Arabidopsis thaliana: one gene and its partner. Each later gene encodes a partner of the first gene's protein in a complex. Each region holds a gene or a part of one and is shown in the gene's direction. Other genes may lie near its edges.

The links. The genes of interacting proteins can lie anywhere in the genome.
Region 2: AT1G61790 (region 1) and AT3G09455 share a complex: the UniProt entries of both Arabidopsis thaliana proteins name them as parts of the oligosaccharyltransferase (OST) complex.

What each region holds. Positions count from the first base shown.
Region 1 is NC_003070.9:22,812,600-22,817,198, forward strand, and holds AT1G61790 (Oligosaccharyltransferase complex/magnesium transporter family protein), read left to right. Parts: upstream 1-1,767; 5' UTR 1,768-1,790; coding exon 1,791-2,831; 3' UTR 2,832-2,864; exon of another isoform or gene 2,865-3,558; intron 3,559-3,952; 3' UTR 3,953-4,089; downstream 4,090-4,599. Other genes in the region: AT1G61780 (postsynaptic protein-like protein), read right to left, coding at 223-287, 399-496, 1,010-1,127, 1,402-1,417. UniProt on the Arabidopsis thaliana protein: Subunit of the oligosaccharyl transferase (OST) complex that catalyzes the initial transfer of a defined glycan (Glc(3)Man(9)GlcNAc(2) in eukaryotes) from the lipid carrier dolichol-pyrophosphate to an asparagine residue within an Asn-X-Ser/Thr consensus motif in nascent polypeptide chains, the first step in protein N-glycosylation.
Region 2 is NC_003074.8:2,909,898-2,912,926, reverse strand, and holds AT3G09455 (dolichyl-diphosphooligosaccharide-protein glycosyltransferase subunit), read left to right. Parts: upstream 1-1,572; 5' UTR 1,573-1,821; intron 1,822-2,192; coding exon 2,193-2,300; 3' UTR 2,301-2,516; downstream 2,517-3,029. Other genes in the region: AT3G09470 (Major facilitator superfamily protein), read left to right, coding at 268-358, 455-567, 866-989, 1,077-1,259; AT3G09450 (fusaric acid resistance family protein), read right to left, coding at 2,836-3,029. UniProt on the Arabidopsis thaliana protein: Subunit of the oligosaccharyl transferase (OST) complex that catalyzes the initial transfer of a defined glycan (Glc(3)Man(9)GlcNAc(2) in eukaryotes) from the lipid carrier dolichol-pyrophosphate to an asparagine residue within an Asn-X-Ser/Thr consensus motif in nascent polypeptide chains, the first step in protein N-glycosylation.

The sequences.
Region 1 (4,599 bases):
ATTTGCTCCGTGGAATGTTCAAATCTATCTTTGATACTTGAATTCGAGTTCTAAAACGAAACATTAACTTTATGATCAGTCAAGAAACACAGTGAAGCAACAAGATTCTGTTTGGTTATATTAAAACCGGAGGAAACCGATACAAAAAAATACATGAGTGAGAGGATACAACGTTGACATCAAAGGGACAAAAACTAAAATGTGAAACGCTTGCGGATTTGTTTATACATTGCTTTGCTTGTACATCTTGGTGTCCAACACTTGCTTCCCGCACATTGCGCACACTCCTGCACAACCACGAAGAGGCAATTCCATCAGTTGTTAAGTTACTCTATAATATCACTATCCAACCAGAGGTAAGAATTTAGTAGAGTAAAACAGATGTATTAACTATTTACCTTTGCTATAGGCACATGTGTGACAGTATTTACCATCTTGATGCACTTGCTGCTTGCAGATCATACATTTTGTGGTACAGGTACTGTAAGGTGACCATCTACAAGGCAAAGAAATATCACAATAGAAAATTAGAAGCAGAACAAGAGTAAACAAAACTAATAACTCAACTCAAAAAAGACAACACAAACATTCACAGTTACAAATATCGCTAGTTCCATGAGAAGTTGTACATTTACTAATGATTCTTATTAAAACCTAGAGGACTAGCGAAGCGGTGGAGTTCTACACCCTAGATGGCAAGAGTCCAGTAGCCTAATCAACTCAACAGATAATACAAACATCCCAAACTTAAAAAATTTATCGCTATTTCCATGAGAAATTCTATAATTACTAATGATTTTTAGAAGAACCTGGAGGGATCAACTCAAAAAAGACACTACACGAAACTACAATACCAATATTTCTTAGAAGAAACTACAGGAAACAAAACCAATACCAAACTAGACGATACAAACATCCCCAAAGCTACAAATTAATCACTATTTCCATATTGCAATTCAAATAATGAAAAGTAGTAAAATGAAGATGGATAAACATAAGAAATGCATACCTATTCTTCTTGGAGAGAAGCTTATTCTCATTGATTTTACGACCACCACCTTCAGTTACATTACGAGCACCATCCTTCCACTTATCAGGAACTATCACTTTCGATAACTTCTTCTCACCTAAAATTAAAAGATAAAAACAAATTGAGTCAAAAGGTTCATACTTTGAACTAAATTAGAGATCCTACAACTAGGGTTTCGATCTAAGAAACCAAAATCGAATCAGAGATCATTAAATTTCTTCCTGAAACATGTAATCGATTAAGCTAGAAACGAAACGAATCACAAATCCTAACGCCAATAGTATAGATTCAATTAGAATTAAAACCGATCCAAGTATAGATTGATTCAATTAGAATATGGAATTCAAAGAGAAGATTATTGATGGACTTACACTTATCGCAAACCATCTTCTTCTTCCGAGAGAGAAATATGAAGAAACCCTAACGCCTAAATCAATTCGAATGGGTTAGAGTTACGACGAAAACTTATCGGTGTTGAAATTTTTATCTATGTTTAAATATATTTTTTTTCCTTTTCTGGATTTGGAAAGTCGGATATGTCTCGTCAAAACTCATAGCCTCACAGGTATTTTATGCCACGAATCGTAATAATCCACGTGGTACATCAACCAATAAAAACGTTCCACGTGGTACAACCAGCGAGATACCAAGAACTTCGAGACCTTCTTCTCCAGATAGAGGCTTTCCGGTAAACGGCAAATACCCTTTTCCTTCACTTTCTTCGTCTTCTCGAATCTGAGAGAACGAGAGATCAACAACAATGGCGCTCAAATCAAAACTCGTCTCTCTTCTCTTCCTCATAGCAACACTATCATCCACATTCGCAGCTTCGTTTTCCGATTCGGATTCCGATTCAGATCTTCTCAACGAACTTGTATCTCTCAGATCAACAAGCGAATCAGGCGTAATCCATCTCGATGACCATGGAATCTCAAAATTCCTAACCTCCGCTTCCACGCCTCGTCCTTACTCGTTACTCGTCTTCTTCGACGCTACTCAACTCCACAGCAAAAACGAGCTTCGTCTTCAAGAGCTCCGTCGCGAATTCGGCATCGTCTCCGCTTCATTCCTCGCTAACAACAATGGATCTGAAGGAACTAAGCTTTTCTTCTGTGAGATCGAGTTTTCGAAGTCTCAATCTTCGTTCCAGCTCTTTGGCGTTAACGCTTTACCTCACATTCGTCTTGTAAGTCCTTCGATATCGAATCTACGTGATGAATCTGGTCAAATGGATCAATCGGATTACTCTAGATTAGCTGAATCAATGGCTGAGTTTGTTGAGCAACGAACTAAACTCAAGGTCGGTCCTATTCAACGTCCACCGCTACTTTCGAAACCACAGATCGGTATTATCGTTGCGTTGATCGTTATCGCTACTCCGTTTATCATCAAAAGAGTTTTGAAAGGAGAAACTATTCTTCATGATACTAGACTTTGGTTATCTGGTGCTATCTTCATTTACTTCTTTAGTGTTGCTGGTACAATGCACAACATTATCAGGAAAATGCCGATGTTTCTTCAAGATCGTAACGATCCGAATAAGCTTGTGTTTTTCTACCAAGGATCTGGAATGCAGCTTGGAGCTGAAGGATTTGCTGTTGGATTCTTGTATACTGTTGTTGGATTGCTTTTGGCGTTTGTTACCAATGTGCTTGTTCGAGTGAAGAATATTACTGCACAAAGGTTGATTATGCTTTTGGCTTTGTTCATATCGTTCTGGGCTGTGAAGAAAGTTGTTTACTTGGATAACTGGAAGACTGGATATGGAATTCATCCGTATTGGCCATCGAGTTGGCGTTGATTACATCACACTTGAGGATCTCTGTTTCACAAGGTAATGGCTTTAGTTTTGGAAAAACAGTTATGGGAATTGAGTAATGATGTTTCTGGATGTTTTGTGTTTCGATTTGAAATACTTTTGAATCGGTGTAGTACTACTATTTCAGATGGTTTAAAACTCCTTACTGTTACATTAGTCCATTGTTAAGTTATTTATCTGAATGAGTAACTTATATAACCAAGAATATGGGATCTTTAGTCGATTGAATATAGGAACCATATTTGGAAATTCAGGTACTGTTTCTTGAGATCAGTCTAGGATTGTTGTTATTTGGTACATTGACACTTTTAGAGTTTCTATGTGTCTTCAGCCTTGCGCCCCTTGCTTACTGCATCTATTCAGAAAAAGGGACTTTGTGATTGAGGATAGTGTTTCTGTTTAAGCATTATGGGACCTTATGTTTTGTCGTTGACTGTGTCCTCTTCTCGTTTTGCTCTCTGTTTTAGAATGAGTCTAAGTAAAATTTAGGTTCAAGTATAAATTTGTGATAGAGATGGAGTTTCGGATTAGGTTTAGCCATTCGACATGACATAGGCTTGCGCAGGTGGGAACCAAGTCTCTTCTTGATAGGCTTTTCATTTGTGTACACACATTTTGTGAGATCATTTCAACTTGAAAATTGCAAAGCATGCCTCTCTGATACATCAGTATGACTTTGATTGTTTGTTTGCGTTTATTGTGCAATTAATTTTTTTTTCATCAAATGAATTTACAATCTTCAGCAGTTAAAACAGATTATACTTGTTTATGGTAAAAAAAAAAAAATGTCACACTCACACGCAAAATTGAAAAAGTTTCAGATTTCACTCGAGAAAGTGAAGTAACCTATGATTTGTCTTTTGTCGAATCAAATGGTTGATGGAAATTTTCTTTCGTCTTTGAATTTAGTTGGACAATCTCGACTTAGTTAGCTCATTCGATCCATTTCTAGCCCACACAGAAAAAATGAGCTTAATCCATATGAGTGTTTCACTTTTTCTAATAAGTTTTTGGGGGCTTCTCGACTTGGGCCTTGAGTTTTATTTGTACGTTGTGTATGGGTCTAAGTCTTGCTAATCCACGTTTCTTACATATTTCTTTAGGTCTCTCATTTGACAATTTCGGGTCAGATTGATCTTCGTTTGAGTTGGACTGGCGCATGTTCGGGTTTCGACATATTGCTATGTTTAATGGATTTACGACTCTAATTTTAATTAACCACTAGTAAATTTGGTATGTATGCTTCTTATTATTAGAGCAGCCCAATCATTATCATAAAAATAGTCCATTAGCCCATGTGTTTAAGGTTTCTTTCAAGATAGATTCAGAGATAAATTTGTGTAATGAGAAGAAGAGAAGTAACTTTAGAATTGCTGATGGTACAACTCTCTTCTCCATCTTTATATGAAATTAATCTAATAAGATTTCATTAGTGCTCTTGGCGAACATTTAAATATACTCTGGACTAACAAAACAAAATCACTAGTCTACCATAATTTAGGTTTGCAAATTTTTAAAGAATACTCATTTAGTAAAATTTAGGTAAATAAATATTTAAAAACTAAATTCATTTTCGACGAGGATATTGAACTAACCCAAAGGCACGAGGTGTCTTGAAAGTGACTAAGCACAAATTTTCAACCTATATAAAAAAAAAACACAGCCTGTCTCACACAGTCACATTGTATGTTATTACAATTTAAGACAATGACGATTGCATATACATAAAAATTATTTATACACACATATA
Region 2 (3,029 bases), on another chromosome or scaffold:
GTTTTCCCTTTTATTCTCACAAGGATATCCTTAAATGATTAGGATTTATTGCGATCAAAGTTATTATCGGTCAGGCCCTAGATAACGTACATAAAGTTCATTGTGGTGGTTGGAGTCTCAGGATCTTAGCAGTGAATAGTTGTTTCCAATCTATACATAAGTTTTCATTTCTTGTCAGCGAAATCAGCAAAAGTTTGTTATTTTTTTTGTAAGATATACTGATATAAATCTTCATTATTCTTACAAGTTACATTTTCCACTCTATAGGGCTGAGTTTACAAAGGAAATTGTTACGCCGGCGATTGGTGTCTCAGGTGTTGGTGGGGCGATGGCAGTCTACGGAGCTCTTGATGCAGTTGTAAGTTAAAAGGAAACGTAAAAAATCATCCTTTTTTACTCTCGTGTTTTTTTTATGTGGTTAATCCTTATTTTTCCTGCTGTAAAATCATTCTAGTGTTCAATGACTGCTGGAAGGTTTACCTCTGGTTTGTCATCGATCACCTTCATAGTTTCTGGTGGAGCTGTTGCTCAAGCTTCTGTGTTTCTCTGGCTTCTTCTCGGGTACAGGTTTGATACTTCTACACCCTATTTTCATTCAAACCATTAGCAACTTCACAAATAGAGACATATCGAGTCTAGAAGTCCTTGTGTTTCTGAATTCATGAAATGATTTCCTCATAAAGCTTCATTATGGGTATTGGTATGTATTAGTGGCATTGATCAAGCAACTTCCTTTGGTAGTATCCCGATTTCTTTGTCATATTTGTGAAACTATGCAAGTTCTGAAGAGAATTAGGAATTGCGGGCACCTGACAACCTATAAGTGTTTCTGAAGAATCTAAGCTATGGTGATATGGTGATGCAGGCAAACTAGCGGAGTACTTGGCACAGCTTACCCACTTATAATGGCGGCCATATTAGGAATTGGTGATGGAATATTAAATACTCAAATCAGTGCTCTTCTCGCATTACTCTTCAAACATGACACGGTTAATATTATCAAAATATTATTATTGTTATTCTCTCAACTGACAAATCCTCTAAACGGTCTCCTATGTTTGTACTTGTGAAAACAGGAAGGAGCATTTGCGCAGCTAAAAGTATGGCAGAGCGCAGCAATAGCGATAGTGTTCTTCCTAAGCCCGTACATATCACTGCAAGCAATGCTCATAGTGATGCTGGTTATGGTCTGTGTTTCACTCTTCTCTTTCCTGTTTTTAGCTCTTAAGGTAGAGAATGTATTTACCCACGACGAATAACTCTTTGATCTGTTCACATTCGGGGAGATCACAAGTGTGAAAAGCTTAAAACAGTATTGTCTATTCAATTGTAAAGAACAAAAATGGTCGTTTTGTATAATAATTAATGTCTCTGGAAGTTCCTTATAATTGAGACTTGGGAAGTATGCAACTTTTCAATTTTTCAGTCTTTCCTTTATTCATGTCCTGGATATGACATTTGTAGCAAACCGATATTGACCAAATTAAACCACAAGAACCAAATCTAATAGATGTGAATTTCTCGGTTAAATTAACTAGAAACGTCGTCGTTTGGAGCTAGCTTTTACTTTATTTTTGTAAAACATGTGTTTCATTCAGAGAGACTTCACAGTTGAAGAAACACATTTCACGAGTTCCCTGCTCTTCCAGAATTCTCTATCACGAAATTCTCTGCGCTTTCGAAGGTAAATAATCGGTGATTTCTTTAGGATCTTTTTTTATATACCTTCATATTTTCGAATTCAAATTCTGGTTCTTAGGCATAATTTAGTCCCCGAGGTTTACACTGTGATCTGAGCAAAGCCTTTGTTTCATCTCACAGGTATCAGATTCAACCAATGTCGTGGTTTGGTTATCTTATGAATCAATATTATTTTTATTAACACGTATTGTTCTTACTAGATTTCGTGTTCCAGATCAGGTCTTGTTTGTAGAAGAAATATATATTGAATTTGTAATCAAAATCATGGATTCATTATAATGTATGACCGTAATCGTTGCTACCAATTTTGATAATGATTCGGATATCCTCTAGATCTAGCTGAGATTTTGGAGTGATTTCTACAAGATATAGCTGAGAATGTAGTAGATGTGAACATTTTTGTGAATATCTGATTCGTTTAATCTTCAGACTTCACTTGCTAAGCTTAGCTCTTTGTTCTAATATTCTCTCCAATGGTTATTGTGTTACAGATGTTTGACGATCAAGATCTGGGATTCTTTGCCAATTTCCTGGGAATCTTCATTTTCATACTGGTGATTGCCTACCATTTCGTCATGGCTGACCCTAAATTCGAATAGAAATGAGGTTCAGAATCATTGTTGGTTTCTACAATGTTATGTCAGACTCAACATGTCATTCAGATTCGATACTTGAAGATGTTTTTTTGTAGCTCTTAAGGAAGATGTTTAAGCTTTTGTAATACTTGGTTTTAGCTGCAGAAATCTTTTTTTTTTGTAGTGCTGTTATTCATATACTTTGATAATTCGCTATAAAAGGCTTGTTTCTATAGCAATTTCCGGGTCTTGCATGTTAAATTATGAGCGGATTTGTTATCTGATAGGTTGGTGAAAGCTTTGCTGTATATTTTTGTTTGGATTTACATGTTCATTGATACAAGACCAATCACGAGTCCGTGTATCTGTTAGAGCTAGAGCTAGATGAACTCCAGTTAATAATGAGAATTGTTCTGTTTGCAGCGTTTCTATGTTTTGTTGCTCTAGAGAAACAATTTGCTTCGTTTTTGCTCTTTTTTAGATTAATTTTGTACACCAAACGTTTCTTACAAAATGGTTTGTGCTATAGGTACTAACATCCTCTAGAATTCTTCCAAAATCAAGTTGTATGGGTTATTTCTGTCATAATACATATTGTTTCCTGCATTAATCTGCTAATGCAGAACCCTAGACTGCTCAGACATAGGGCAGTTTCACTCTTGAACGCATCGTCTGCTGTGTTACAACTTATCTTGTCTGTTGCTTCCTTCAGTAGCATGACGAAAGAAACCGAAAACCTCTCCACATCAGCCT